Drosophila melanogaster: one gene and its partners. The protein of the gene in region 1 purifies or fractionates together with the protein of each later gene. This does not show direct contact. Each region holds a gene or a part of one and is shown on either strand. Other genes may lie near its edges.

Region 1 (8,262 bases):
GTTGAGTACATCTCGATAGCCCTGAAGGTTGCTTTTCATCGCAGCCACCTGCATCTCCGAAGGTTGCCCCATTTTATTGTGCTCCTGGTTTTTGAGGATGAAGCGCAGGGAGGCCTGAATAATGACCAAGTGTTGCAGATGACTTGCGGTGATCAGTAGGATCTCATAGAAGCTGGAAGAATTTTTGGGTTAGTTGAAATAGTAACAGAATAAACCACCACTCACTTGTTCATCTCATCCTTTTTGACCCGAGCTATCGACGAGTTGCTCCAATGATGAAGATGAAAGCTGTAATAAAGGGACATTTTATTACAAGTTCCATAAGAGTTTTAATTCTACTCACTCAAGAATGCCCGTCAGTATCTTGTGACGGAAGATGGGATACTCGATGCCGATCTCGCGAAGTGACTGCTCATCCATGACGAGGAAATCTGCCAGCGAGATCCTCGCAATGGCAAAGTATTGAACCATGTTGCCAATATTGATGGCCTCCAGTATGCCGTTAAGTTCTTGAAAATATTCCGGGCAATCGCTCTTAAGGAAGATGCGTGGAATGTGATCCCTTAGCGTGTTGTAGCCCAGGAAGTGCGTCGGCACTAGGTAAGTGGAGGCTGGTCGCGGCAGGATCTCCAGCAGGTCGTAGTATCCATGGCACTCCGCCACCTGGGTGGGCGTGTAGCCTTTGTTGTTGGCTATCGTGGCATTCGCGCCCGCCTCCACCAACAGCTTGACCACTTCCACGTGATTTTTCTCGATGGCATGAAAGATGGCAGTGCAGCCCTGATTATCCACAGCATCGAAACTAGCATCCTTAATAAGCAGACGCACAACGCCGGCAAAGCCATTTTGGCAGGCGAACATAAAGGGTGTCATTCCATATTTTTCCGAAACATTGATCACGGCTCCGTGCCGCAAGAGCAGGCCCACAATTCTCTCCGCCAGGCACGGATCCTTGTGGGTGGTATTGCAGGCCATCATCAGCGGCATCAAGGAATCCAGCTGCCGATTCACGTTGGCCCCTGCCCTTTCCAGCAGCCATTCAACTATTTTGTAGTGGCCCTCGCGACAGGCGAGCATCAGTAAGTTAAGACCACCTTTTACTGGCTGATCCACTTGGAGGACGAGTTTGCGCATCTCCTCCTGCATCGTCTTGAGATCCCCAGCGACGACTGCATCGTAGAGCTTTTGCTCGGGATCCACGTAAGGAGCTGGTTTCGAGCGTTTCACCTATACAGAAATTACTCAAGTCACCCAAGGAACACCAGAAGGAACAGAACAAGGAACACATACCTTATCCGAGAAGTAGAATCCATCGTAGCTGCTATCAGAGTCGGAATCTGGGGGCGGTCCGTATTTGCAAAGGTTGCTCATCATACAGGTACTTATATAAACCTAATTTAGCAGTTTAAGCACACAACAATTGTGGCCAAATTCAGGAAAAAGGCGAAAGGAGGAAAATGGCAAACAAAACTAGTGAGGGGAGGCGAGGTTCTGAAAAAGTTTGCACAATCGATTTTTATCGATATCATGGCGCGCTTTTTAAACTAAGCTAAATTAAGATAACCGAAACTAATTTAAGCAATAGTAAATTTGCAGTTATATTAGAAAGTTTAACACTCTGATTATGCAGATTCGCAATTTTGTTTTGAGGTGTCATATGTTTAAAGCAAATTAAAAAAATTAAATGCCTTAAAGAAGAAAAAGTTTTATTTTACAAGTATACGATTTAACATAGCGTAGTTTGCAGCTCTACTTCTTTTTATCCTTCTTGGCGTGACGAGGTCCTCCGAAGTTCTTGCCCTTGTTGAACTTATTCTTTCCCGCCTTGTTTGTCAGCTTCACACTGCTCGCCTTTTTCTTAGCAGCGATCTTGGTCATCTTTTTGTGCCGATTGGCCTCGGACCTGGAAAAGGGTGTACAAAATTAGAACAACTATCAACGAAAAGCGAGAAAGAGCTACTCACCTTAGACGCAGAGCTCCGCCACGACTTACATCGGTCAAGTCGTTAGTAAATGCCGACTGACCGCCGCGTCGCTTGGGTTTGCCGTCGGAGGCACCGCTTCTGTGAACTTCGGTGGCGGCTCCTAGTTTGCCCGGACGTTTGCGCAGCTTGGCCATCTTGGCGCGCACAAGGGACACCTTCTCGATCTCCTTCATGGCTCGCTCTTTGGCCAGCTGCTCCGGTGTCTTCTTTCGAGGCTCCTCCTTCTTCTTCTTGTTGCGCTTTGCCTCGAGATCCTTGACCGGTGGTCCATCCTCGCCATCGCCTCCGTACTCGGGTCGCTTACGCTTTCCGGCCGTTTTTCCCTTACCCTTTCCACCAGATGCTTTATCCTCGTCGCCGGTTGTCAACGCTAAGCGATCCTTCTCCGCCTCGCGTTGCTGTTTCGTCTGGAACCAACCACGTCGCTCGTTGGTCTGTCCCAGCAGCTTTCGCTCCGTTTTGGAGAGCTGTTGCTCCGTTTTGGCTAGCTGCCGTTCAGCCTGCTCTTCGTCCAGAATGTTTTCTACAAAACAATACATTTACATCCGCAAATTAAGAAAATGTTACATTTATATAAACTTACGAATCTCTGGCTCCAAGCTTGTAAGTTTGTTGCGATATTTTTCAATAATCTCTGGCGGAATAATACGATTCTTAATGGTACTCTCCGCATTCTTGATAATGTCCTTAACGATCTTGCGCTCCTTTTCACCGGCCAGGGAAACGGATATACCAGCACGCCCAGCTCGAGCCGTACGACCCACTCGATGGATGTAGTGCTCTGTGGTGATGGGCATCACAAAGTTGATTACCGTTTTTACGCCCACAATATCGAGACCACGAGCAGCTACATCTGTGGCGATAAGCACATCAATCTGCTCCTCCTTGAACTTCTTGAGGGACTCCAGACGCTGTTGCTGGGTGAGATTGCCATGCAGTTCGCCGGCCCGGACGCCCAAGAGACCCAATAAAATGTGCAGTCGATGGGCCTGCTTTTTGGTTTGCACAAATACCATGCAATGATCATGGAACGTCCTGCAAATCAAACTAGCCAGAATGGGTTCACGGTCGCCCTCCTTATCCTCACGTATGCGAATAAATTCCTGACGCAGATTGAAGGCCACTTGCTGGTTGTTGTTGACGAACACCTTGATGGGCTTGTCCAGCGATACGGCGGCCAGATCTTTGACCTGCTCGCTCATTGTGGCGGAGAACAACATGGTCTGACGTGTCTTACAGCAGGAGTTGATGATCTCCTTCATCTGTTCGGCGAAGTACTCGTCCAGCATACGATCGGCCTCGTCCAGAATGAGAACCTGTTCGGGATATCAAAAGATATTTAAGTTATTCAGGTAAAGTAAACGTAGGAAACACAATGCCTGTGGAATCAGCTTGCATCTGCCGCGCAGAAGCAAGAACCAGGTTATCCTCTTAGCTCCGCAAAGAGCTCAGAGCGCAAGGATGGAGAATCATCAACTTAAATTCACCTCGATTTCTTACCTCAATGGAATCCAATGTAAAACTGGGCGTATTTTTAATGTGATCGATTAGACGACCTGGCGTTGCAATGACAATGTCGGGATTCTGGCGAAGTACTGCCTCCTGAGCCTTCACATCCAGACCACCAATTGCCAGACCCACATCAATAGTGGTGAACTGGCACAATTGCTTTGTCACCTGGTAAACCTGGGCGCCCAGCTCACGAGTGGGCACAAGAACCAGTACCCTGGTGATGGCCTTGTTGTTAAGAGGACGATACAGCAAACGTTCTAGAGTAGGCAACATATAAGCAGCAGTTTTGCCCGTTCCCGTGGCAGCACAGCCGCAGATATCGCGACCTAGCAAAGCCACAGGAATCGTAGAGGCCTGGATCGGCGTAGGATATATGTACCCCAGCACACCGATGGCACGCATCAGGGGACGTGAAAGGTTCATTTGGTAGAAGGAAGTGATCTGCTCGTTCGCCTCTACAGTGTCGGCGAACTGCATCTTCTCGCCCTCGTCCTCTTCATCCTCCTCTCCAGCCTTCTTCTTCTTTTTTTTGGATTCCTTCTTCTCCCTTAGCCGCAGGTTGTCATGCTTCAATTCGTCCTCGGAGAGATCTATCTCACTTCCATCGCTCTGCTCCGCGGCCACAGCTTCGGCGCCACCCCGCTTTTGCAGCCGGGCGGCGATCTTGTCGTCGGTCTTTGTGCGCGCCTTTCGCTTCACGTACTTCATCAGGTCGTCCCAAGTGTCCTGGTTGTACTCCTTCACTGAGGACACGAACTCGAAGCCCTTCTCAAACTCCGTCACCTTCTTGTGTCTCAGTTTTGTGGGTTGGTACTGCGGAGGCACTCGGAACTCAGTTTTGCTATCGTTTTTAAAAGTGTGAGCAACCTACCTCGACCTCCGCATCGGAGTCCTCCGACAAGTTCTCCACCTCGGCATCGTCTTCGATGGTGCCTATCAAGTCCAGGTTCTTGGTTGCACCCATTTTTGAAGCAAAGAACTATTCAAAACTCCACCAGCGCGTGTTTACAATTTAAAACACACGTGTGGCGTGTTAGAGATGGGCGAACCGGTGGTCAAATCATCGTTTGCAAGCGTGGGTGGAATTTGTGGAAATATTAGTTTGTTGCTCTTTTAATGTTAAGTAATTTCAAATAACCATAAACATAAGTTTACTAAGTAAAATCAACATATTATTTTCATCATAATTGATATTTTACTTTGTTTTTCAAGCCATCAATACATCACGAAATTGCGTGCCGGCGATAGCTCTCATCTCTAAATCGTCAGCTGTTTAACCAATTTTGTTATGAAATTTGCTTGAGTTTCCCATCGAAAATGCTGCGTTTGCTTACAAAAACAAGGGTGCTGCGGTGAGTTATTATAATGATACAATACCTAGTCAGCAGTAGTAACAATAGGCTCTCTTCGTAGCCAACTGATGCCAGCGACAGGCGCCACTCCACCTGCATCCCGCTTCTATGCGAAGAACCAAGGAGCAGCCAGCCAAAAATCGGATGACGACATGGTCAGCGATGAGCCCATCAAGTTTTTCGGCAGCCAGGCGGCCACTTGGCGCGCCAAGGACACCCGCAGTGGTGGCAGCGACGAGACCCTTTGGTACCAACCCTACGTAATCTCCGCCAGCCTGGCCATCTTCCTCCTGTACTTCTGTGCGCTGCGCGAGGAGAGCGACATCGATCTCCGGTTGGAGGGCAACTTGTACGAGCATGTCAGTGGTCTGGAGGAGGTGCAGCTGACTGTCAACTACAGGTACAACAAGGAACACGGACTGGACACCAAGGAGCAGGAGAGACGGCTCAGGGAACTGGGCGTTGATCTGGGCCAGTTGGATGCCAAGTTGGCCGCCCAGTAGTCGTAGGGTTGGTTTGTTGTACGTTTTTGTTTCGTTAAGTGAAATTAAACATTTTTAATAACTAGAAGATGTATGTTTCTACCAGGGTAAATTATTTATTAATCTTTTTTAATGGCTTGGTGATATTTGCAATCAATTTTTGGTTGTTTTTGTTTGTTTAACTGAAATTGAATATTATATTGGCTTCCTTGTTTAAATAACCCTTCATTTAAAGTAATTTAATGTAAAAATATAATATGAGATTTCTTAAATAGGATCGGCTAAAAATAATCATCAAAGTTATAGCTTTAGTCTTACAAATGCAAATCATTTTCCTTTGTATACCCCGATCACATAGATTAATATATTATATACTTGAGTACGGCATGTGCCCGCCTATTTTCTTTTTATCACGCGGCGCAGAAGCTGAAAAGGATTATAAACTATAGTATAAAAGTATAAGACTTAAAAATTTTTTATGAATTCGCGCCAATTTTTTTTACGTGGTCGGAGTGTGACCATACGGCAGCATCCTTGGTAATCGCGCCAGCTGATTGCTATCGATAGGAACAGCTGAGTTCGGTTAGCAGGTGTGCACACACTGTGTTTGCGATAAGAAACGCGCAGGAAAAGCAGAAAAAGGTAAACTGATCGTGACCGCTATAGCCATTGCCTGTGCGTTTCATGCACACATCCGTTGACCTACGGCCGGCCCCACCCCCAAAACCAGAATCCAGTGGAAGGCGGTAGACTCCGACAGCATGGTGAGTAGACAAAGAAGCCATATCGCCATTGGCCCCCGCCCATCGCAACCGACTGATTTGCACCCAATCACGCCCTTTCAGAGCTACGATGATGATGACTATCCGGCGGACACGTTCCCCAAGGACTTTGGCTACCGGGCCTACAACCAGGATGGCCTGGAACTGGAGCCCAATGCAACGGGCAGCAGCGAGACAAAGCCGCGCATTCTGCTGATGGGAATGCGCAGATCCGGCAAGAGCTCCATCCAAAAAGTGGTCTTCCACAAGATGTCGCCGAACGAGACGCTCTTCCTGGAGTCGACCAGTAAGATCGTGAAGGACGACATCAACAACTCCAGCTTTGTGCAGTTCCAGATCTGGGACTTCCCCGGCCAGATTGACTTCTTCGAGCCGACCTTTGATTCTGACATGATCTTTGGAGGCTGTGGAGCCCTGGTCTTTGTCATCGATGCCAAGGATGACTACAACGAGGCGCTGACCAAGTTCAAGAACACAGTGCTGCAGGCCTACAAAGTGAACAAGCGCATCAAGTTCGAGGTGTTTATACACAAGGTAATATCCATGAGTTGGGCGCTTATCGTGTTGATAACCCAGCGACACATGCTCTTTTCCCAGGTGGATGGAATTAGCGACGACTCGAAAATGGAATCGCAGCGGGACATACACCAGCGGTCGTCGGATGACCTTAACGAGGCTGGCCTCGATCAGATCCACCTGAGTTTCCATCTGACCTCCATATACGACCACTCCATCTTCGAGGCCTTCTCCAAGGTGGTGCAGAAGCTGATTCCCCAGCTTCCGACGCTGGAGAATCTGCTGAACATTTTTATACCAGTACACGAAACTTGCATTGTTGTTTTTGAACTACGCAGTTAATTCCTTATCCATTGCAGAACTCCGGAATAGAAAAAGCCTTTCTGTTCGATGTGGTTTCCAAAATTTACATAGCCACGGACTCGTCACCAGTCGATATGCAGACGTATGAGCTCTGCTGCGATATGATTGACGTGGTCATTGATCTGTCCAGCATATACAGGCAAGCTAACTAATTTCGATGTATTTGCTGCTTTGCCTAAATAACCATTGCTTTACCGCAGCTCCGAAGAAACCGCCTTTGACAGCGGGAGCTCTAGTCTCATCAAGTTAAACAACAACACGATACTCTACCTGCGGGAGGTGAACAAGTTCCTGGCCCTGGTCTGCATCCTGCGCGAGGAGAACTTCAACCGGCAGGGCGTCATCGACTACAATTTCATCTGTTTCCGCGACGCCATCAGCGAGGTATTCGAGCTGCGGCTAAAGCGCCAGAAGCAGCTGGAGAACAACGACCAGGACGACGATGATCTGGTCGATGAGCAGACCCTGATTCGCCATGGCCACGACGCAGGTGGAATTTCGCGAGCGCAGCCAATTAATTAGGCGCACTGCATCCCCAAGCGGAGAGCCCCTTTTATTGCCCCCCTACGCTAGCTTCTCTGTGGACTCTTTGATTCCAATTTGTACGTTCTCTTCCGTTAAATCTGATGTTACCTTTGTCTATTGATACGTTAGGACGCCACTCTCACAGAGCAGCGTAAAAAATTGCCCAGCGGTTGAAATTATTGATAATACTACCAATAAACATGTCTATTTTTAAATACGAGTGTGCTCTTGCCTAATTTATTTCCTTAATTTTTGTTACGTTACAGCGCACCAGTATAAAATAGCAAACAAAGATGTTAGGGATCACTTTTTGTAAGTGCTATACTCTATGATAGTTCATTGTTTTTAGATACTTTTGAAACTCTAAGAAAAGATAATTAGTTTTAATCTTTTGAGAAAGCAGCTATTCACAGGACGAAAGCCATGATCTAAAATCTCTCCGCTGAGTAAAGCAAACTATTTTGATGAGCGAAACAATATATTGTCTCGGTAAATATATAAGAAAGAAACTATCTTGGAAACTTCATACTTGCTTCCTACACAACATTCCTAACCCGCTAGAGTACATAGACCCATCTCTTTCTCCTTACATCGGCTACTCCACATGTTATGTTTGATCAACTGTTTTCAGGAACTGTAGCTTCAGACCAGGCCAAGATTATGGTGCTCAGTCGCTTGGCAATCCCATTAGGGTTCAGTTGCGGGTGAAAATAGAGTCTTTGACGTACGTGCAAGACAATAATTG
Region 2 (6,700 bases), on another chromosome or scaffold:
GCTTGTTTCCCTCACCCGCTGTTGGATTTACGCCAAGTGGACAGGCTACCACTGCTTTTGGAGCACCCGCCATTGTAGGAGCCACAAACCCCGTTAACCCACCGAGAAGAACTTCATCTGGCGGATTATCTACCCCATCATCTCGCAGTGGACCCTATGGACCGCAGGCTTCGCAGTATGGAGGTACTCCCGGTGGATCTCCAATCCGAGTTGCTAGTGGAACGGGAGACAGCGGGGACTACAACGATTCCGATGGAGACTACTCGGCCATTCCGGGTGTTCCTGGAGTGGATTATCCTATTTATGCCCAGGTGCCGCGCACCAACTTTGACTGTGCGCAACAGCCCCTACCCGGCTATTATGCGGACATAGAGGCCCAATGCCAGGTGTTCCATATCTGTGCCCTCAACCGGACCTACTCCTTCCTGTGTCCCAATGGCACAGTCTTCAGCCAGGAGACATTAGTCTGTGTGTGGTGGAACCAGTACGACTGCGTTTCGGCGCCCAGCTTATATGCGAACAATGCCTATATCTATGATTACTCCGAGAGAAGTGGCTCCAATCTGAGAACATCGAATACCAACAACGTCTACCGTCCGGCCGCTTCTTCCTCGGCTGCCTTCGGGGCACCTCTGGCCACGACTGGAACACTTCGAGCCACCGGAGTGTCTCAGGTTGCTGGATATAACTCCGGCCGGGGGTCCTATCCTTCAGCCACGCCCACCCCAACCGCTCAGCCCCAAAGCCCGTATGGCGCTGGGGCTGTCCTTCGTCCCGCCATTGTCCCGAGCACTGGAGCCAATCGATTACCGCCATCGGGAGCTGCTGTCGGGCTTCTGGCCACTGCCGCCGGAGCTCTTCCCGAGAGTTCAGTGGCTGGATTCGGGCAACAGCAGTCGGGCGGGAATAGAGAGTATCTGCCACCAGCTAGCGTTGGACAACAGCGACAACGAGGAGGCACCAATGCATAGGTAGCGAATGAAAAATTCTGGCGAACCCCTGGGACTTGTACCCGGTTATATGACACTACTCTTAGTGACTCTAGACTTAGCCTCTATATAGAATGTTAGGAGCTCCAAACATAATAACTTGTAAAAATCCCATTAATTGAAATATATTACAGAGAAGTTCTAAGCAAATGAATGGTTTCATGTTTTAAAACCAACTCGCACCTTTCTGATTTAACAACAAATTTGTTCGATTATTATCTGGCTAATCAAATCCTGGTATCACACTTGGTATTCTCTTCCTTTAACTGAGAACGTATTTGGAAGAATGTTTAATATTGGGAAACAAGTTGGGTATTGTTTAAAAATTGCATTTCTTTCCACACTATTCCGCAGTCATTATAACTCTACTTCAATCTTCAAATTTTTCTTTATTGAAGTGCACTGAAAAAATCAATTTGTAAGGTTTGTTTATCCTTCGTCTGTGAAACTTTTCCTTGCTGCAGCAGTTTTCCGTACTCCTGTTTGAAGTCCGAGCGAATATATAAGTGTTTGCCCCTTTTTAGTTTTGGTTGACCCGCTTTTGGCAGCGGTATTGTCGGATTGAAAGCCATCTGAGTGCTGTCGAATTGCGTAAACAGCTCGTGGGAGGTACTAAGGAAAGTAATAATTGTTAGAGTCACATATGTAGTTGCCGTCTTATTACATACAGTTTGCCAATTTCCGTGGGCAAAGCTCCCTCGCCCGTTGCTGGCACTCCATGAGCAATGTGAACGGCCATCCGTCGCACCGTGGGATGATAGTGACGTGCCAGAAGCGCAAGCTCATACAGCGCTGTGCTTGCTGCGTTACAGTACTCAGGATCGTCCAGTTCGGGATCGTAACGACCAGAGCCTATCGTAGTGTCTGTATCCAATAGGTTGTCAAGCACAGAAGTGAGCTGGAAGGTTTGTTTTATTGTGCCAAGCGTGGCCAGGGTGCCATTATGGAGCAGATGCAGACTTCCAGTAAGCAAGCGTTTCATGAAGGCCATTAGACGCTGCTGGCTCATATTGCGACGACGCTTTACGAGCACCTCATCCAAAGTTCGCAAAATAATGGCGAAGTCATCGTGATTTTTGCCTGCCTGCACCGCCAGCATATTTCGGTAAAAGTGCTGGTAGAATCGGATGGGGTCGATGTTTAGCACCTCACCCTGGCCGGAAAGGATAACGAATATGGTCTGAACACAGTGCAATCGCTCCCGGTAGCCCAGCTCGTCTTGGTCCTCTAGAATGCGGTTGAGCACATCGATTAGATCGGAGAAGAAGTCCAAATTAATGACGTGCGCAAACCTAAAAATCATCCTCTATATTTAAAATTCCAGGAAAGAGATTTACAATAACCACTCACTCTGCCAATCCTTCTAGAATAGCGCTCAGCACGCGGGAGGTGGGATCGTTCTTAAGCACGCGGAAGTAAATGGTAAACACCATCTTTATGATCTCGGTGAGCTTCTGATGCTTTGCTTGCTTGTTTTCCTCGGCACGGGTTTCCTCTAGTTCTCTGTTAACCTCGGTGAGCTTCTTACGTCTTTTGCGCTCTTTCTTGGACAAGCTTAGTAAGCGTTGACGATGCGACTCAAGCTTCTTTTGCTTTAGCTCATTCTCCTTTTCGGCATCTAGGTTTACGTTCTTGATTTTAAGGCCCATCAGACAGGTGATGCACTCCACATGAACATTGTTCTGCTTCGTTTTGATCAAGTGATTGATGCGTCGCACTATAAAAAGAGTCATTTCTAACCGTTTGTCGTTGGAAAAGACTGTGCGGAAGCACTGATGGACCGCCGTTCGCATCTCTGCATAATTGCAATTCAGCATATACACCAGAAGCTGGGCAATGTTTTGAACGTAGTTAAAGTATGGATGTGCCACAAGCAAGTCACACATGCACTGTACTGCCACGGTGGCCAACTTCACAGTCTGAGGCGTCCTTAGACCACCTCTCCTGTTAACTTGCGCTGTGATCTGTTCCAGTTTCTGCAGGAACTTTTTAAACTGTTGAAGCAAGGCGTTTTCAAAGGTTACACGATCAAGAGTGGCCTTGCGAAGCGTCTGCATCTTGGTGTCGACCTGACCCACTCGATACTCGGGCAAGATATCTTTGAATATCTCGGTGACAGAGATTATGGCCAGCTTTCTGACGGCCATTAGGTTGGCCTGTCGACTGGCTGGGTTGATTTCGTCCATGAGTTCGTACAGAGCATGAAAGTTGCGCATCTTATCCTCTGGCTTTTCGAGCAGCCCGGAACAAATGATTCCAATGCGATACTTCTGGCGTTCGATCTCCTGCTGCCGGGCAATAAGTAGATCCGTGGTAGAGATAAGTTTTTGGACGGGAGCGGCGGTGGCGGCCTCGACATCATTGACCACATCGTCATCGCTGTCCTCATACTCCGTATCACCGTCTTCCTCGGAATCATCCTCCTCTTCTTCTTCATTCTTCTTTTTCTGCTTGGGCTTAGGTATGTAATCCACCTCTGTCGTACGGGTGATAATCTGACCATCCCTGGACTTGATTGGCAGCAAATCCAACTTTATTTTTTGCGCGTCCTGCTCTTTTTTCGTGTCAGAGGCATAGGCCCTTTCCAAGCCGATGGATTGTCCTTGGTCAGGATCATTCTCGCCGGTCGTCTTGGCCTTTCGCTTGCGTTTGTTAGCCTGGAGCAGGGCAAGATCATCGCCATCCAGCATGTCCGCAACGTTTTCAAGCATCTCATCGTCGCCATCCTCGTTGTCTTCCTCGAGCGGATCCAAGCCCAGGGAGGCCAATTTGTTGTGCTTTTTACGCTGTGCTAAGTTGTCCCGCTTTCTCGCCTTTTGGGAGAATATATTCTGACCCTGTTCGCGCTTCGATTTCAGTTGGTCGCGCTTTTGCTTCTGTTTTTGTTGCTGCTGCTTAGAAAGCGGTGTTTTTTTCGACTTCAGGTGAGCAGCCCGCTTGACCGAGCTGATTTTGACCTTTTTCTACAATGATTTGGATTAGAATAAGCATTAAATAATTTTACTTTCCACTTACAGTTCCCATTGCACCCGTTTTAGTCAACTAATAGTTAATTTTCACAAATGTTGCCTTCTGAATGGGACGAGCACATGGAACGCCAACGGAACTGTCCACTCGTCAGCGGAGCGCAACAGCTGCTCAGAAGCGGATAGTATTTTGTTTAGTATCTTACATGCGCTTACTTAAAATACTTTGTTTTTGAAGAAATAAGTAAATGACACAAACTGGCTGTTTTTTTTATCACTAAACAGAACCAATACTATAAAATACAATTTTCGGAACTCAATCTTCATAGCAGAGATATCATTGTTATTATAAATTATCGAAATAATGCTGTAGATAACTATGCAATGGTCACACTTAAGTGAGAAGTGTAAACAAAACAAACAGATGTCTGACGAGGAGGAGGATTATATGTCCGACAAATTCCTGGTTGGGTGAGATTACACTCACACCTAACTAACAACCAACCACCTTATGAAAAACTCTCATCCTTCCCTCATTAGTCTGCAAGATGTCCGACCGAGTTTGGTGCACAATCGCGGCAGAAAGCGGCAGATTGAAGTCGAGTCCAAGAAAGATGAGCTGAAGAAGCGCCAACGGGAGACAGCAGCTTCTTCCGGGAACGTAGACAATGTTCGCCTTCAACAGTCCCTCAACAAACCAATTTCCGCCGACAACAAAGGATTCCAGCTACTGGCCAAGATGGGCTACAAAGCCGGTTCTGGGTTGGGCATAACTTCGGATGCTCGTACTGAACCCGTGGGGATAACTATAAAGAGCGGTCGTGGAGGACTTGGGCGCGAGGCAGCCGTTGCAGAGTTGGCCCTCAAGCGGCAGAAGTTGCGGAGGGCACATCTCCTAAACAAGGCCGGCATTAAAAGCGACGAGGAAGTCAGTACAGAGGCTTATAGGAGGCGCGCGACCCATAAAGCGGAGGAGCGAAAATTACAGTATGACATAAAACGGTGCCAGCAGACCTGCGAATCGTTGGATCTTAAGTCCGCTATCACAGAACCAGATCTCGATTTCTTTTGGCCACCTAAACCAAAAGATGAAGATGAATCACAGAGCGACGCCGACGATCCTGAAGTCGAGGTGCCACCTAAGCAAGAACCATACAGTCCCTCGGAGCAATTAGAACTCCTCACTGGCTACCTGCGCACAGCCTATTGCTTCTGCTATTGGTGTGGGACCCATTACGATGACGCCGAAGATCTGGGCTCCAACTGTCCAGGACTCACTCGTGACGAACACTAGCTCCAATCAATAAAATAAAATAAAAAAACTAGCTTGATTGCTTACACATAATTTCATAAAATCAGCAGGTTTAAAATATTTTACAATAAGTAGTCAAAAAACAGTAAGCGGTGTATCTGGTTTGGAGGAATGTCTATAAATGAGTTGTAATCCAGTTAGTGGGAGCTACAAGCGACCCTCCAGTTTCTGTATCAGATCGTGGGTCCTTTCGATAACACTAAACACGAATGGCCGTTCCATTGGATCTGTTCGCAGCATGTACTTAATTAATTCGTGCATGTCCTAGACAAATATTTGGAATTAGTTTCCTTTACAATATAAAAAAAAGGTTTATTACCTCTGTGTAAATTGAATCCTCTGGAATGTTTATGTTCCCACTGAGCACAGCCAAAGCCACGCTGTCACCTCGCTCGTAGATGGGATCGTAGGGTGAATTAAAGTAGCACATTGCATAGAGCACACAGCCAAGACTCTGAAAGAGGGAAATGTTAAGGAAGAACTTCAATAACGCTCTCTTGGATCTGCTTTACCCATATGTCAGTGCGCTCGTCAATTGTGCAATATGTTTTCACGGTAAATAACTCTGGAGCCCGGTAGACAATGGAGCTCCTCTCCTCGGCTTCGTCCTGCAAGCGCTGAGCATCCGTCTGGCCCACAATCTGCAGTCGGGCTTCTGTCATTGACCCGAGATCCACAATAATTGGCTCAAAAGAGTCCGACAGGCAGATGTTGGCCGTTTTTAGATCTCGGTGGGCCAGAGGCACCGGCATTGCCTCGTGGATGGCCTTCAATCCCTCGCAGACGCCCAGAAAGATTTGCAGGATCTGGGCCTCGGGCATGTGGTCCTGTTTCCGCGATCGCAGCTGAAGGTGGTCCGCAAGAGATCCGTGCTTGTAATAGGGAAGCACAATGAACAAGGTGCTCGTTGTGTTTATAACTATGTCCGCCTGGCCCTTCAGCTCGTAATCCACTACCCGGATCACGTTTTCCGAGTCAATTTTTCGACAGTTTTCGATTTCTCGCAGAGCTATATTCTGATCATCGATGCTGTGGCAGGTGATGCGCTTTATCGCATAGCTACGTCGCGTGGAGGCGTTTTCCCCAAGGTCGATTAGACTGAAGCCCCTGTTTAAACACTCAGATTAGATATATCAGAGGAGATAGTGGGAAAAATGTGGTACAAACCCCGTCGCCAGCCTTTCGCGGATTGTGTATCGAGATCCGTTTATGTTCAGGGTCTCCTTGCGGCAACTAAAGAGGCAGCCGCGTTTCATGATCAGCGTCCATCCTATACTCTGCATTTTTCTTAAATTATGCTATGTACTTCACAACTTTAAGCTTAACAACTAGTTCAATTCACATACAAAATCTAAATAGAAAACACAAAGCTGAAGTGGAATGTTTATACTGGAACGAATTTATGAAGTTCGGTGATTTTTAACCATATTTGT
Region 3 (7,377 bases), on another chromosome or scaffold:
CAGTAACAGGTTGGTGGCACCTGGTAAGCGAACGGACAAGAAAGATAATGGGTCAATCAGGACGAACATGAAACGGAAGGCTAAGTGCATGGAGGAGGATTCGTTGAAGGCTAACGGCGATTTGGCCTTGTTTCCCGGACGCGACGAGAGCTATCCGGAGGAGTTGAACAGGCTTATTGGACCACTGAACTGTCAGCTGTGTAAGGTGCAGATGACCTCGAGGAAGCGCGCCCGGGATCACTACGAATCGAAGGCCCACGACCGACACATCAGCGCCTGGCTGGCCAAGAACTACACGGAGGTGGGTCTGGAGGCGCCTCCAGTGAAGCGGCTGGCCAAGCAAGGACCAACCGGCCCAAACGCCTTTCACTGCGAGCTGTGCAATCTGGACCTTACCTCCTCTATGCACGCCCGCCAGCACTATTTAGGTCGGAAGCACAAGCGTGTGGAGCAGGGCGTCGCGAAGCCCTCCGGAGCCAGGCACTGTGATACATCTGTTGGTCGTTACGGCATAGGGAGTCTGTTCCGCAAGCCGGAAAGTTTAACCAAAGATTCCCCTACGGACGTATTAATATCAGAGAACAGCGTGATCAAGTCTGACGATAATGAGCGCACCTGCCACCTGTGTAAAATAGTGGTCACCTCTGCTGCACAAATGCAGGCCCACTTGGCTGGAGCCAGGCACCAAAAGAACTGGAGGACCTCCCGGCAGGATCAGAATCATTCGGAGGCGCCGATCCCTGAAACGGAGAAATTAGATGCCGCGGAACTGGCCTTGTATCGCACTCCAATGGGTCAGTACTACTGCCAGCCCTGCAACATGATGATGAACCATGAGAGCACCTTGCAACAGCACTTTATTGGCAAGAAGCACCTGAAGAGGGTAAAAAACCTTTCCCAAACTGAGAAGAACGTGTAAAGAATTTATTTGATATACCCTAAGCCTAAGCCATGACTTCCCGTTAGCAGTAAAGCTTCCTTAATAATAATGACATTCGAGTTTGGGAAACAGCTATTTTGTTTAAGAAAGGCATTATAAAAACCGTAATTTGTTATCATACCCATTACTCATAGAGGGGTATATTAAACTCGTTAAAAGGAATACAAATTTCTATCGATATGCCAAGATAATTTTGAAATTTCTCTCTCAAACTCACTCCCACTATCTGGTATCTGATAGTCGAGAAATTCGACTATAACATTCTTTCTTGTTTAAAAAAATTGTCTAAATTTAGGGATTCAAAAGTGGTTTACCGATGATAAGCTTTCTTGAGCCCCACTTAATATGATCACAAGGTTTAATTTCTTTTCTGCATTTATTTTTAAAATTATTCGCCGTTGTTATTTCGTAGATAAATCGGTAGTGGTCAACTTTTTTTTATTAACTGTCAGGCCAAAAACAAATGGAATTTAAAATAGTTCAAATCAAATTCGAATACGAAAATAAGTGTTGTATTTTGAAAAAGAAAAAAAATTCGTAATTTCACACCATGGCCGAGGAGATAGAGGTTGAGGAGACGGAGGACTTCCACGACATGGACTTCAATGACGAAGAGCCATCCTGTAGTGGAGGAGCTGTCCAGGCCAGGACGGAGCGCTTTGTGGTGAAGAAATGGGTTGCGCACGCCATGTGGGGATGGGACGTAGCAGTGGACAACTGTGCCATCTGCCGTAACCACATCATGAACCTGTGCATCGAGTGCCAGGCGGACCCGAATGCAAACCAAGACGAGTGCACTGTGGCTTGGGGCGAGTGCAACCACGCATTCCATTACCACTGCATCGCGCGCTGGTTGAAAACGCGCCTGGTCTGTCCGCTGGACAACAAGGAGTGGGTCTACCAGAAGTACGGCCGCTAGCGAGGAATATGGATCGGGATATTAGGTGGTGATAGCTGTTTGCTGGCATGTAATTACTGTAATTAAATAAGAACGGACTTGGGTTCCAAAAGAAGGTTTACGCTTCCTGGTCGGGCAGGAGTTGCTGGGCCGTGGGCCTGACGCCAGTTATATGTTCGATTTGAGAGTAAAGCGAATCGCGCTCCTCCACTAAGCTAGCGTACTTTTGCTGCAGCTCCTTCTCGCGGTCCATCTGGCGACGCACGTCCTCTTGCAGCGATTCCAGGCGTCGCGGCACAGCGATGGCCTCCTGTTCGCCCAAAAAGCGGAATGTCGAGAGTGAGACAGAGTTCTGCTCAATCTGGCCGTACGTGTCCTGAAGCTGCTTAATCAGCACCTGGGCGCGCGCCTGGTAGCCGCCGGTGAGAATCTTCAGCTTCTTCTCGATCTTGCCGCAGCGCTTGGCTTCCTTGGCCATGTGGCGGCGATTTGTCTCCAGCCGTTTCTCGGCAGACTCTAATCGATCCTTCTTGCTGGCCAAATTGGCGCGTGTGTAGCGATGTTGGGAGGGTAGGTAAAGAACCTGGCCGAGGCACTCCTGCCACACCTGGGCATAAACGTCTAGGGGCAGTTCGCCATGCGCCATGCGCTCCTTCACCACCTCCATTTCCTCGGTGAGCATTTGCTTGGCCTTCGCCAACTCTTGCTGCGAGATGTCCTCGTAGGGATTGGCCTTAAAGTAGCTTTGTAGCTGTTCCAACTTGTGCTGCGATTGACCAGGCACGGGATCCTTGACCGAGTCGTACACTGCCAAGAAAAAGGACGTTAGTTACTTGGGTTAAAATGGAAACGTTGGGTTTACTCACGCTGCATGGTGATCATTTCGTGTTTAATCAGCTCTTCGGCCTGCTGCTGTTCCGTAAGGTTCTGTTTCTCGGACTGCGGTCGCAGAATCTTGGTGTTCACTTCAGTTGGTCGCGGGAGACTACGCTGAATAACCTGGGAGCGCTTCTCTAGCTCTCGCTTTCGGCGCGCCTCTTGTTCAGCCAATAACCTGGCGTCGACATCCGCCTGATCCTCGACGGCGGGTTCTGAGTTGGTCTCAATGCGTTCGCTTTCCTCCTGCTCAGGCACCACGATCTCATAGTCATTCCGTGGAGCGGGCAGCGTGGAGAGACCGTCACGCAGTGTAGACTTTAGTTGCTTTTGGTAGTTTTTGTAATGTGCTGGGGTCTCGGTGACGCCCATACTCTCCTCAGGATTGATGCTTAGCTTGTCCCTCACGTAGGCAGGTGTATTGACGACACCCGTAGCCCCTCCTGCCCCCTTTACGGGAACTAGGGCTCCGGAGGAGGGCGTTTGGAATCCGCCGGGAGTGGCTGCTCCGCCCTCGCGTTGGGTTCTAAACGGCGTGGCAATCACTGTGTTAGGCGTGGCGATGGAGGCCGCCTTGGGCAGCACGCCGGAGAAGTCTGACTCGTGCAGCGGTGTGTTCAGGCCACCTTTGAGTGGCGTCTCTGTGTGGGTGAGGGCCATCATGTTTTGGGCCTCCTGCATGATGCGATCGGTGTACGGAGCCGGAGTACGTGGAGTGGCTGCTACCTGGGGTGTAATGGAGTAGTCGGCTAGCAAAGCATCCGTCGTCTCTATGCCGCTCTCACCGGCAATTTCCTTTGCCATCTCACTGGCGCGTCCCAGCTTGACTACCTGCTGTAGTTCCATGTCGGAAATCTGCGGCGTAGGCAGGACTAGTTTGGAGCGCTTCCGCTCGGGCTCCATGTTTTGCAGCATTGCGGTGGGCACTTCATTCTCTTTGCGCTGCTTCAGCTTCTGCTTGTCCCGCTTGCGTTCGCGTTCCTCCTTCTCTGAGCGGAGTTCTCCATCTAGGTCCTGCTGCCGCATCTTGTTGAAGTCGGGTTCATTTTTCTGCAAGTGTTCCTCGGAAGTGTCGTAGAATCCGTGGGCAGGTCGCTTTTCGAAGGGAATCTCGGCGTTGTAGTCTATTCCCTTGATCCGCTTGCGATTTCCGCTGCCAATTCCGGCGGCACGAAGTTCGCGCCGCTTTTGGAGAGTGGCCAGGCGGCGGGCTTCCTCCAGTTGCTTTTCGCGAGCCTTGCGCTTGGCTTTCTTGCCTTGCGTGTTGGCCAAGCGGGCGCGTGCCTCGGACAGCATTTCCAGCTCGTCCTCGTCCATGTCCTTGGGATCGGGCCGCGCCGGCTTGGTCTCTGGATTGGGGTCAATCTCTCCGGGCTTCAACTTGCGAGGATCATCCATCGTGTCCTCGCCATCCTCTTTGCGTTGGGCTTGGTCTCTGTACGGCAGGAAAGGGATCAGAAATTTTCTACTTAGTATGTTGTGCGTTGGACTCACAGCAAGTACTCATAGCGCTCCAGGCACTGGGCTGCCGTCCGTCCGATGATCGGGGCTATGGTGCGCCACTGCGTCGGCATCAGCTTGGCCAAGTGGAGCAGTTTCTCGTCCTCCTCACGGGACCACTCGGTCTTCTTGATGCTGGGATCCAGCCACTCGTACCACCTGGCCTTGCACTGCTTGGCGGACTTTCTGTGCAGGAGGGAGGCAATTCGACTCCACTGGTTCTTGCCATATTTCATAACCGCAGCTTTGAGGATTTCATCCTGGGAAAATGAAATCGGTAGCCAATGTAAGCCATGTGTGGTTAACCGATAGACTATTGGGATAATTACCTCCGTGTTGCGCCACACGCCGCCCTTGATCATTATTCGCGGCATTCTGGGGCCTTATGTTGCTTTCTGTCGCGTATACAATGGATTTTCACAATTTTCACTCGAGTCCACGAAACTCCGCTCTTTTTTTTGCAGTAGCCGCTAGCGATGGTTAGTCTTCGATAACAGCGATATCTCCAGCACGTTTTGGTATATTTATAGAACCTCTAGTTAAACTATTCTAGCTTAGTACAAAAAAATTTCATTATATTGTATTTAGTCTTCGTATACCGTTTGATTTAACTTCGGTCTTAATATTGGTAACTTAAATTATTCAATTTAATAAAGGGCCTATACACACGACATAACATAACGCGACAGTGTGACCGAATATAGTTGTGCAAACACCGCTGCCACACTGTGTACAGCAACAGCTGTTCGCTATCAGTTATTTTGTGATGAAAAGTTTTTTTTCTGCGTAATGCCAATTTTTGTGATGCGGAATTAAGAGGCGTGTGCCCAGGAAGCGGAAAACCGGCAACCGGCAACCGGAATCCGGCACCGGGAATCAACTGGACCAAGGAAGGCACCCACGATGAGCGATGCGACCTATCCGGGATATTACGGCGGCAACCAGGTGAGCAACCAGCGAGTACCTCTGGCCAGAAAAACACGCCGTGTGTCTTCCAGCTGCTCCCGTTGTCGCATCCGCATCCTACACATCCGCACCAAGACCTGTCGCTTTCCACGCCGGTTCACTCCTTGGAGCAGGACTCCAACTTCGGGGGATTCTTTGACGAAGAGCTGGTCATCGGATCGGGATCCGGATCTGCCTCCGCGTCTGCTGCAAACACCACCCCTTCTGGAACTACTTTGTGGCTGGCCGATGGCGGGAATCGATCACCTACTGAGGTGGCGGTGGAGTCCCAGCCCAATCAGGGCATTCCCTTTGTCCAGATCCACACCACCGACTTGCAGCAACCAGAGAAAAGCTACCGCAATGCCTTCCGCAGGCGTACAGCGGAAATTAAGTCGGAGGAACTAATCAAGTCGGAACTTGCGGAAGCGGCAGCCAAGGATCGCCTGAATGCCACGCCAACGCCACCAACTCGAAATTCCAGCTGCGCCAGCGTGGAGGGCAAGGCAATCATTCAGGAGGGTCCGCCTCTTATCCTGCGCTGTCCTAATTGTCCATTCTTAAGCCTCTGCCAGATGCGTCTTCAGCAACACCTTAGTCAGGGCAACTGCTATATGGAGCAGCACAGGAAACAGTGTCCAGGTGAGGCATAGTGCGCCTTCAATATGAGTGCTCTGCTGGAATGCTTCATCATATTTGCATTCACTTTTCACGTGTTTTTCGACAGGCTGCTCAAACATTTTCTACACCAGCGATGCGCTCAGCTTGCACCTCAGCTTGGACCATCAAATGGAGGACAGTGAGACACTTGCGCTTATGGGCAGAAAAGTCACTGAAGCACAAACTAAAAAGCAGACTCAGATGTCGCAGAGCCAAAATCGACCCAAGAGCCGCATCTTTATAAAAAGCGTAGATTGCCTAAGGGAGCCACTCCCGGATTTCCCGCCCTTAATGCCGGATAGCGGGTCCGCCGCTAACATTCTTGATCTGCTGGAAGGTGTGGCTGTAGGTGCATCGCCGACCGAACAGACAATGCCAACAGCACCTGCTGCGAATTTACCAGCTCCGCCGCCAAAGCCCATCCAGAAGATCTCCATCAAGAGCGTGGACGTGCTCAGGGAGACCGCTTTGCTGCCGTTCGACTTCCAGCTGCAGAACCATTCGGTCAATACGGACAATAGTCTCCCTGAAGTTCCTGATGTTGTCGGGGAGCCGGAGAAGCCGCGCCAGCCGAAGATTTATATCCGCAATGTAGACATCCTCAAGGAACCGATGGTTTTGCCATCTGCTCTGCCCGGTCTGGGATTCAATAGCACCATGCCGTCGGCAGCAGAGCCAGGACAAAGTGGCCTGGTTGTAGGAGGAGCAGATGGTGATGTCTTCCAGTCGGAGACACTACTAACGCCCACGTGTCAGCTTCCAGGATTCGAGCCCAGCCTCGCCCCGCTCGCACAGATGTGTTCCGAGGCATTTCCCTTTGATTCTGTGCTGAATGGCAATGGAGCACCTGCCGCCCATGTGGAAAACACACGTTTTAGTGCTTTGGACCTTGATTTTGGTGTGGATTTTGTTTCGGAAGAGGCAACTCCGCCACCTCCTCTGAATGATCCACTGACAATGATGGAACCACAACCTGTCCAGCTGGAGCACTACATGCCACCTACGGCTCCCATTACGACCAAGCAAAAGATCTTCATCAAAAACGTGGACATTTTGAAAGCACCGCAGAGGGGCACCTTGCACCTGCGCACTGTGGACGAACTAAACCTAATGAATCGCACCGAGGTGGAGCACTTAATCGTGCCCAATCTAGAACCGATGGCAATGACCATGATGGAGCTTCCGCCCGTGCAGCAGCAGCCAATGGAAGTAACTTCACAGCTCAAGGGACCAACGGAAACGCTTGGCGAATTTCAGCCGTCTATTAGTGAAAGTTGGCCTAGCGAGGATGGCTATGACCTACCTGAGGATCTGGAGTGCTGGCCGTGGATGGAAGATGCTGTACCAGAAGCTGGACTCGTTCTGCCTACACCCAGTGAAGTGGCTAATGCTCCCCCACTCGATGGTTTGTCTCACAATGCAGTGGATCTGCTAGTCAAGGATTTTTCGCATTTGTACGCCGCACCACCGGAGGACACACAAAACGCAGAAGAAGGAACTGCAGCGGGAGGACGAGGGACAGTGCCACCTCTAGTACCGGTAACATCTTCGGAAGGGA
Region 4 (9,098 bases), on another chromosome or scaffold:
ATCCTGAACTACAACGAAAGGCTGCTCAAAGATTGCACCAAGTATTCTGCCTTCAACTTTGTGTCCATCGAAATTGGGTGAGTCTGCGCCCATTCAGGTTAACCTGAATTATTATATATTCTAATTATATGCATATTAGTATGTACATATATTGCTTTATGCTGTCTTTATCTCCGAATTATACGTATAAATTCTGAATAATATGCAATAACATTAGGGAACCATTAGCGAAACATTGATACCATCTACTGCACGCCTTCGTTCTCAACAGATCTGCATCCCAGCCCGCTCGCGTGAAGCTGCTGAGCAATGTGCCGCCCACGCTGGAGGATTTCCAGAACGGCGAGTGCTACGGATTTGGCAACAGTCTGCCGCACTCTCCGTTCGAGAAGGTGCGTCATGGCAAACAGGAGTTCGAGGCGATCGTTAAGGCTCATGGGGAAGCCAGCGTGGAGACTCTGTCCGCCCAGCTGATGCAGTTGCTCCGCAACAAGCACAAATTCTGGCCGGACGACGAGCTAAAGACACGTGCGCCCAACTGGGGCGAGGGATTGAGTTCCCTAAACGTCCATATCGAAGAGCATGCCTATGGCAGCCGTACACACTCCGTTGTCCTGGTGGACAGCGAGAATAAGATGCACTTCATTGAGGAGACAATGACTGGATTGGATCCGCACGGCGAATGGAACAAGACCCACATTGAAAAGGATTTTCAAAACGGCGTTTGACCACGGACAGGATGACGCAACTTCTTGACGCAACTATCTCGTTCGAAGACTTTCCTCTTTTGTAGAATAACCTAATTGGCTAATATTCTACCAATCTGTATTTTGACTCTGGCATTTGCGATAATAAATAGTCATATTTACTATATCTTTAAAGAACATAAAGCTTGTGTGGATTTAATCTAACGTTACTGCTCTTCTTTCTGCCACGCATCGAACTATGTTGCTTTCAAAATTCTTTATTCAAAGTCTTTGCAGATCAAAACAAAAAAAAAAAAAAATACATAACTATTCTGTTTCTGTTTTTCTTTATCTGTGGCATTTACAACGTCTCCACATGTTCATATATATATATTAAGTTATATTTATATATTTAAGCAAAGTAACAGGGGAAATAATCATCAACGTCTTAGCTTCCTTATCAACAGACCGCACTATCCCAGTGTTATTATACATCTCTATATCTCTATAGCTTTACGAGCCTGTTAGCCAGTTGGCTTGAATCGTCTGCCCTATTTGTATTTCTTGGACACCCGGCCACCGCCGGCTCCTCCATTTTCAGCGCCAGCTCCTCGCAATACGCTCTTGAATTTTCGCGAATTCATTGAACGTTTTCTGGGGGCGAAAGAGATGGAGTATTAGATAGGGACGGGTATATTAATAATATTAAACATTTTGGATACACACCTCTTGTTCAGGTTATTCCTAGTGAGTGGTATATACGCATATGGATCCAGTTTTCCGCTCTTCTTCATATCACCCTTGGCCTTCTTGCTGCCGTACTCACTGCCCGCTGGGCGGCTGGTGGATTTGCCTGACTTCACGGACATGGCATCCGAGTTTCCAGCTGTCAGCTGTCGATGAATGCCCTTGCCACCGGCAGTGTAGCGACTACTGGCAGTGGTTTTGCCCGATTTCATGCTCATCGCATCATCACCCTTGCGTACACGCTTGGGTACTAGCTTCTGCTGCAGTTTATCTTCGTCGCTCGAATCGTCTTCCATGCCACGCTTAACCTTGGGCTGCTTGGCTACAGTGCCATACGCCATGGATGCATCGGAATCCGAGTCGTCATCGGACTGATCGTTACCGCCCTGGCCACGAAGTGCCTTGTCGCTGATGATCAGGCGTCCATCGTCGGCAGTCTTGAAGCCACCGTTCGGCAGCTGAGCTTTCGTCTTTTGACTCTGGGCAGGGGTGGCCGTTTGAGCGGAGCCACTGGCTGGAGTGGGGCAAAGGCAAAGAAACAAAAAAAGTGATGATTTGTGCGATTTTCAAACGACTTCAACTTACTCAGCACATTGCCAATGGACTTGAGATCGGCCAAATCGACTATCTCATCGGGATCCTCGCGAATGTAAGTGCTCTTCTGTTGCTTAGCATTCTTGCTACGCTTGCTAGCTGCGGCTGCAGCTCCGGCCTCATCCTTAGCGTCCATATCTTCGGGCAGATCCGAATCGGAGTCAGCTAGCATATCATCAATGCTGTGGAAGGGATTTTTTTTAGTTATTTGGGTAATTACTGTGTATGAAAAACGCTTACGTGTAGCTCTTTTCCTGCAGACCGCTGACCAGCTCATCATCGGAGCTATCCTCCTGCGCTTCCAAGTTCTGTTTCTTGCGCAAATCCCTGCGCGTACGCTTGCGGATCATCTTCAGCCGGCGATGGATTACATCGTCATCGCCGGGAACGAAGCCGGCCAGCTCCCCGGGGCTAAAACGAATGCAGAGCTTCTTAAGCAAATAACCGATCTGGATGCGGCAGTATCGCTTCGTATCCTTGGTCATGGCCGACAAGGAACGCATCTAAAGGAGGGGAAAGAACTAATTATTCGGTTCAAGTGCCTAATTTAAATGTCGGCGGATGTGCTCACAATTGCCTCCAGGTGATTGGCCACCAGTGGTATGGGCATCACTTTGATGAATGTAATCAGAAAGGCAATGGCTGCCTCCGCTTGCTTGCGTGACTTCTGGACGAGGAAAACAGAGACCTGCTGCAGGACAAACTCCAGAGTGGCCACTGTCAAGTGCTCACCCTGCTGCTGGAGCACAGCCCTAAAGGCCAAAATTGTGTTCGTCACCAGCATTTCATCGCCGGCAAATCCTGCCGTCAGTATATCAACAAAGTCGTTAATCTTGCCGGCATCGTGATAAAGTTGAGTAATAGATTTGATTAGCTGCTCGGCCACCTGTTCCTTGTAATTGGAGAATTCCTTATAGTTGAGCACTGCCTCCGGAATGGCCTTCATCACAAGTTGATCGTTGTACGCCAGATTGCTGTGGCAGTCTATCAGGGACTTCAGGCAGCTGATGATTGAAAAATAATAGTTTAGCCTACACTTTAGCGATCATTTAGCACTTTAACTTACTGCAAACGCGATGCCTGACAAACGTTGCAGCTGGTGTTAAATGAATCGAGAAGGATTTGCTGCAGGACAATGCTGTTCTTGCGGGTAAACTTCTGGCATGATGGCAGCTCCGAGGTCATCAGTTCGCGAAGTAGTCTATAAATAAGAAGGGCTCATAAGTACACTGCAGTGTGACTATGACTAACAACAAGTGTACATACTCGTAGGTCTTCCTTTGCTGCTTTTTCAGTTTCTGCTCATCTTTGGCGACCAATTTCGATTTATCGTTCCTCAGAATGGGAGCCATGTACTTATCGAAATATGCTTTGATTCCCTTGCATGTTTGCACGCGCACTATGGCAGCATTAATGTCAAAGAAAGCGTCGTATTCGAAACTGGCCAAGGCACTGGCAGCCAATTGCTCTTGGGCGTTCTCAAAGAGCTCCAGTTGGACATCAGCCGGCGCCCGGGAAATATACAAACGAATGACTTCCAGAACACGCTTGCGCTGATCGGCCTCGTAGGTTCCATTCGGTTTCTGCGTATAGATATTGAAGAGGCGAGGCAAAAAGTTCTTGGCATACTGGCCAATTGCCTGATGGCATTCCGCACTTTGGTTGTCACCGAGCAGCTCCATCAGACCATCGTAAATGGGAGGCCTAAATTCCGGGTTCTTTTCCACAGCCGCACCCAAAGTGGGAGCTAGGTACCGCAAGTATTCAGGATCCCTTGGCTGACGACAGAAGCCAGGGAACAAGCCCCACAACTGGCAGCACAATAGCTCGTAAATGTGTGATGAAGAATTGTTCTTCGCCTCGGCGAACTCCTTCCACTTCAGTTGGCAGTCCATGGCCAGTGCTACAATCTTCTCCTTGAAGAACTGCAGGCTGGCACCGTTGGCTCCCTCACGGAGGAGGGGCAGCAGCCAGGATCGCTCAAGCTGCATGACGCCCTTGCCATCGGCAAGCGGTATAGCTGTTAGTACCAATTCGGGTCCCAAAGCCTTGATGGCACTGATCACAGTGTGCTCGATCTGCAGACGATGTGCACTCTGGGTGTCGTAGCGCTTGCAGATTGTCATCAGCGGGGGTGTGAGTTCCGAACTGAAAGCATTATAATATTATTAAGCATTTAAATATTATGGCACACATTGCAGACCAACCCGAATAGCTTTCCACAGGCCTCAAAGACGAACGAGAAGATGAGGATCACGAATCTGGAGATCTCTCCGAATGGAGCGTTTAGCATCTTGTGCAGTGAAGCAATTATCCTGGACACACTTTGCCTGTTGCACTGTGCATCCTCCGCTGTAGCACAAGCGCGCGAAACACAGTCTTGCAGCAGCTCCTTGATACAATTTGAGACACCGGCAACCAGCTCCTTTTGGTCCGAGAGCCAAAGATCCGTGGTGCAGACATCGATCAGACGCGGCAAGGCCTGCATACAAAGATCCAGCTGCATGGTCGCCAAATGGAGGTGGCCCTCCTTTAAGACCGTCACCCAGGCGATCGTCTGCCGGATGTCGCTTTTGTCTGGCCGGTACTCGTGTATCGCTGCCAGCAGTTTGGCGCAGAGTGAGGCATTTAAATTGGGGCTTTTTTTGAGGAAAAGGGAGTACAGTGTCTGGAAACAGTTCGTCCTAACCAGCACATTGGCCGCCGTCATAATGGAAAGCAGATGCTCGCAGACACTGCGTATGTCCTCCGTCTTGAAACCGTATAACGTGTCCTTGAGAAGCTCCAAAGTGTGCAGCACTGTCGTCTGTGCATTGGCCAGTACCTCCGGCTTGAACTGAGCCAAACAGAACTTGGCCACGCGACTGCTAGCCGGATGATGCTTAACCTTTGGCTGCTCAACCGCTTCATCCATTTCATTGTCATCTGATTTGATAGCCGGCAGCATGAAACAGCTGCCGTGAATAATTAAGGCAATTGCATGCTGGGCTGCCTTGCGGATCTTCGGCTGTGAGTGAATGCTGAACGCCAGAATGGCATCAAAGTATTGGAACGTCGAGCTGTATGACCATGCCGCGTAATCCTGGGCGCGCAGAATGACAGAAAGGCAGCCGATTACCTGTAAATGGAAAAACACGAACATCGACGTTAAATACGTATTTAACAGCTTTCTGGTAAACACATTTTGCACTTACATGTCGGATGACCGACTGGTTAGTGGACTCCATAAAGCGCTGGAGCAGTCTCTGCATGGTGTCAGCGGTCTGGGCGAATCGCTTTTTGAGAACCGGAGCCGGCACCGAATTAATGCCCATGGCAAGCAGTGTTACGCCGGCCACAATGTCCCGTTCCTCGGTAGCGGCCTCGATCTGCTCCATGAGCAGCAGGAAATACTCTGTAGACGACTCGCCACCGCCGTTCTCGCGGATTATTTCGGTGAGGGCGCTCAGAATGGCCAGCATCTCCTTGTGAAGAGCGGACGAGGACCGGAAGCTGGTGACCAGTTTCTGGAAGCATGTGTTGCTGCAACCGCTGTAGTTGGAGGCGAAGGTCTGGAAGGTTTTGATGGTGCCGGTGGGGGCGGTGCCGGTGGGAGCGGTGCCGGAACCGGACATTCCGTCATCATCGTCATCCAGTTTGAAACTTCTCAAACTGCCGGCCACATCGTTAACCGTTGTGGTTTCCGCATTAAAGGCCTGACTCTGCTCATGCTTGTGGACCGCCTCCATGGTGAGGCCGGTGGTCGTGGCTGCAGCTGTAAGGAATTTGGTTACAGGTGCTAACATAAGATGGCAAGTAAGGAAGAACTCACCCAAACTTAAATTGGGCTGAAAGAATCGCGATTTGGCCTTCATGCGGTGCTTCATCTGGGTGGGATTGGAGGTGGCCGATTCGCCTCTGCTCCATGTCTTTCCCTTGCCATTGCGCTTTAGCTTCGATCGGAATTTGCCCATGATCCCCCACGCGAGAAATGCTCGAAAGAAACAGAAATACTCAATGCACGCAAATCGCAACACGTGCGAACCAGTGTCCCCGCTCGACCGATAGAACTGACAATCGAAACTGCTATCGAATGGCTGATCAAAACTCGATGACGTACCGTTGTAAATTTCTAATCAAGTTCCCCACTTTGAATTGCAGTCCTGGCTAGTTCTGCTCTGCTACCTACCACAAACTAGTTGTGTGCTTTTGAATAAGCATAAATATCTGTTTCCCAAATATAAAAAATATATTTTTTGATTAAAAGATTTAAAAATACTAGTGGGGGTGTGTTGATTATTTCAAGGTGAATTTCCACCCAAGCTATACACCACACGATATCAAATTAGCTAACACACCAACCTGTTATCGATATTCCCCTTAGGAATGTCGATAACGTACGTGGCCGGTCTGGCAGCTCTGTGCAACAAGTTGAAAAATAGAAGAAGCAAATAGAAACAGCGTCCGCAAATAGTGCGCAAAATAGTGTTTTTTTGTTAACGTGCAACAGTGACATTGTTAAGCCATTGAATGCAAGTGACAGTGGGACCAGAAAAACAATGCAAAACACTTGGCCACGCAACAATAACAATTGAGCAAGGCGCACACACACACACATGTGCAGGCACCCACTCGTGTAAGAGAAAAAAAGAGATAGCGCGAGTGTGTGAGTGAGCGAGAGGCAAGAACTGTAACTGTAATATAATTGATAAAACAAAAAACGTCAGGAGCAGGAATCCAGTGAAAGAGCGGCTGTGGCTGAGGGAAAGAGAGAGAGAGAGAGAGAGAGCGAGTAAGAGGACAGCGAAAAAGAGCTGAAAAAGGAGGAGGAATTGTTGTTGCTAAAAATAGCAACAAATAGACAGGGCACGAAGAAGAAGAAGACGACGGCAAATAAGAGCAAGAAGAAGAAGCGTTGACGCAGGCAAAAGTCGCAGCCTTGTTGGCCACTTGGACTCTTACTTTGTCCCGTTAGCCAGCTAACGCTCTCCCGGCGAGCAACAACAACAACAACAAACATCGATAGCAGCAATAACAATAACGATATCAAGGAATACGAGATCAGCATCATCAACACAAAACAAAACAAAAACAACAACAACAAGTACGACGACGGACCAAAACTATGCTTTTGAAATTCACAAAAACCAGTGGCGCTGGACCCTCGGCCGTACCGCTACTGACCACCGCCCCCGCGACAGTCACCAGTTCGGCGTCCATGCAGGCAACAACAACAAGTTACGCGGCCCGTGGAACAGGTTTGTACCCCACTCTCTATCGCCCCTTACCCCCTCTCCCTCTCCCTGTGCCCTCTAACTCATTGCTTTCCACTTCTCTTTGCTCTCTTTTTGTTTTGATTTGTTAAGTTTAAGGTACGCCAAACAGTATAAATAATACACCTTGCCCACATTGACGTCCGAATTTCAGTAATTGAAATTATGGCTAATCGAGGCTTGGGTCTCAGATTATCACATTTTAATTTAAGTCACTCAAAGTTATATTGAAATAATTAAGATATATATTCAAACCATACTTAGAACTTATCCTAAATGATATTATACATTTCCTACGAATTTTTCGTTCAATTCAATAGTCAGCTTGTTAATATAATCAAACACTTGGTCAAAATGTTCTTATTGTTAACTGTTTCTATTGGGCATTGGAATTTTGCTACGCATTTCTTTCGGCTCTATTAGAACCTGTTTTTGTTTACTTGCAAAAAATGGGTGGTGGTGAACCTTTGTATATATACACATGTATGTACATATGTACATTTGTGTACATAAGATAAGGGCTTAGCTCTTATTTGAACTGAAAAATGTTAATAACAACGAAAATAGTATGACTGATAAATACCACTACTTGTTATCCAGTTAGTTTATGTAGAAGGTGTCGTTCAATAGATCTTTGAGAGAGTTCATTTGTTATTTGTATCTTTCGTACGGTTTGTGGGCACTTGACGCAAATAGATGGCAAACAAAAATAGACCGTCCGAAGGTGTACACATATTTTGGGTAAAAATATTGCTCCCCCACAAATAATTCTTGATTGATTTCCGCCCCTTCTGCCGCCCACGTTTCGTCGCCCACTCTCGATTATACTCTAACGATATCATCAGCCACGTTAAAAGAAAAACACAAACAAAAACAATAAGGAAAATACTATTTGGCCCCCACAAACTTTGCGACATTGAAAGCCACGCACGTGTACCAACACACACGTGCATTTATGCTTACACGCACGCACACAAGCACGCATTATGTGTGTACAATGCTGACACGGGCGACTACAGGGCTTCCTCAATATGTGGCACCAGCTGAGGGTAATTGATACCGACAGACTGGTTCACAGTTGTGTTGAGGAATTGAGCTTTTATTGTTTATTGTTTATTGCGGCTCTATAATTTCCAGTAAGTTCTGGCGCAAGAAAGTGTAAGCATGTCTGTATTTCCAGTTATAAACACATCACTTTCTAACTTCAAATTTCCTCTGCTTCTGTTTTTGTTGGCTTCAAGTTTCACCGTATGAGTTATCACTGTAATTGTACATGTGCTTTATATTTTTTTTTTTTGACATTCTTTTCATAATCGTTTCTCTGCGACCAAGACAAGTGAAAAGTGTTTTTCTGGAGATCCAACTCCTAGGAAACACCTTGCGAATCCTTTTCAAGTTTTTCCTTCAACTGTTTGCTCGCTATTCAATTTCCCAACCCATTTTTCCGGCTTACCAGCACGCCCTGAGCCCCTGGCCCCTGCCCCCGCCCCGCTCAACTGTCTCATTTCATTCCGCTCTCTTGAGCCATTTGTTTGCTCCGCTTAATGCCCATATAATCAAATTGAATTGAATTGAATTGAATGGGATGTTTTTCCAACAAGGTCGCGGCTCCTTGGCAACCTGCTGGAAAACTCAGTTAATGTATATAGTTTCCTTTTGCGAGGGTGTGTCTGTTTTAGATGGGAAAACCCACTCGAAAGCGAAATGGAAATGGAGACAATTGAAAGTGGCAGGACAAGGAATTAACAAAGTGTGTGGTTGCACTTGTTGAGCAGCAAGTACAGTGGTCAGTAATTTGCATATATCAAATAGAAATTAT

What was found.
Region 2: the proteins of Rs1 (region 1) and Noc3 purify together in Drosophila melanogaster (affinity purification with mass spectrometry, with the first as the bait; one large-scale study listed by BioGRID). This does not show direct contact.
Region 3: the proteins of Rs1 (region 1) and Cdc5 purify together in Drosophila melanogaster (affinity purification with mass spectrometry, with the first as the bait; one large-scale study listed by BioGRID). This does not show direct contact.
Region 4: the proteins of Rs1 (region 1) and CG2691 purify together in Drosophila melanogaster (affinity purification with mass spectrometry, with the first as the bait; one large-scale study listed by BioGRID). This does not show direct contact.

What each region holds. Positions count from the first base shown.
Region 1 is NT_033778.4:8,161,155-8,169,416, reverse strand, and holds Rs1 (Rs1), read right to left. Parts: upstream 5,854-8,262; 5' UTR 5,650-5,853; intron 5,418-5,649; exon of another isoform or gene 5,353-5,417; coding exon of another isoform or gene 4,911-5,352; intron 4,850-4,910; coding exon of another isoform or gene 4,815-4,849; exon of another isoform or gene 4,710-4,814; intron 4,621-4,709; exon of another isoform or gene 4,548-4,620; intron 4,538-4,547; exon of another isoform or gene 4,477-4,537; 5' UTR 4,462-4,476; coding exon 4,369-4,461; intron 4,311-4,368; coding exon 3,486-4,310; intron 3,468-3,485; exon of another isoform or gene 3,369-3,467; intron 3,302-3,368; coding exon 2,569-3,301; intron 2,509-2,568; coding exon 1,965-2,508; intron 1,904-1,964; coding exon 1,750-1,903; 3' UTR 1,648-1,749; downstream 1-1,647. Other genes in the region: gasz, read right to left, coding at 1-172, 226-288, 344-1,227, 1,291-1,374; CG30373 (uncharacterized protein), read left to right, coding at 4,815-4,849, 4,911-5,352; RagC-D (Ras-related GTP binding C/D), read left to right, coding at 6,093-6,095, 6,177-6,647, 6,711-6,929, 6,989-7,131, 7,193-7,514.
Region 2 is NT_033777.3:7,242,871-7,249,570, forward strand, and holds Noc3 (nucleolar complex protein 3), read right to left. Parts: upstream 4,100-6,700; 5' UTR 4,014-4,099; coding exon 4,005-4,013; intron 3,953-4,004; coding exon 2,340-3,952; intron 2,282-2,339; coding exon 1,658-2,281; intron 1,602-1,657; coding exon 1,379-1,601; 3' UTR 1,362-1,378; downstream 1-1,361. Other genes in the region: CG14607 (uncharacterized protein), read left to right, coding at 1-971; CG10053 (uncharacterized protein), read left to right, coding at 4,380-4,426, 4,496-5,249; CG1227 (uncharacterized protein), read right to left, coding at 5,415-5,531, 5,587-5,721, 5,780-6,374, 6,435-6,550.
Region 3 is NT_037436.4:356,541-363,917, forward strand, and holds Cdc5 (cell division cycle 5), read right to left. Parts: upstream 4,844-7,377; 5' UTR 4,589-4,843; coding exon 4,544-4,588; intron 4,475-4,543; coding exon 4,209-4,474; intron 4,150-4,208; coding exon 2,705-4,149; intron 2,646-2,704; coding exon 1,957-2,645; 3' UTR 1,860-1,956; coding exon of another isoform or gene 1,491-1,859; 3' UTR 1,311-1,490; downstream 1-1,310. Other genes in the region: CG1231 (uncharacterized protein), read left to right, coding at 1-919; Roc1b (regulator of cullins 1b), read left to right, coding at 1,491-1,859; CG1233 (uncharacterized protein), read left to right, coding at 5,118-5,159, 5,213-5,801, 5,887-7,377.
Region 4 is NC_004354.4:13,618,326-13,627,423, forward strand, and holds CG2691 (uncharacterized protein), read right to left. Parts: upstream 6,084-9,098; 5' UTR 5,981-6,083; coding exon 5,839-5,980; intron 5,782-5,838; coding exon 5,222-5,781; intron 5,146-5,221; coding exon 4,235-5,145; intron 4,176-4,234; coding exon 3,294-4,175; intron 3,229-3,293; coding exon 3,094-3,228; intron 3,032-3,093; coding exon 2,599-3,031; intron 2,531-2,598; coding exon 2,268-2,530; intron 2,210-2,267; coding exon 2,019-2,209; intron 1,948-2,018; coding exon 1,413-1,947; intron 1,341-1,412; coding exon 1,238-1,340; 3' UTR 951-1,237; downstream 1-950. Other genes in the region: Tango2 (transport and golgi organization 2), read left to right, coding at 1-77, 272-728.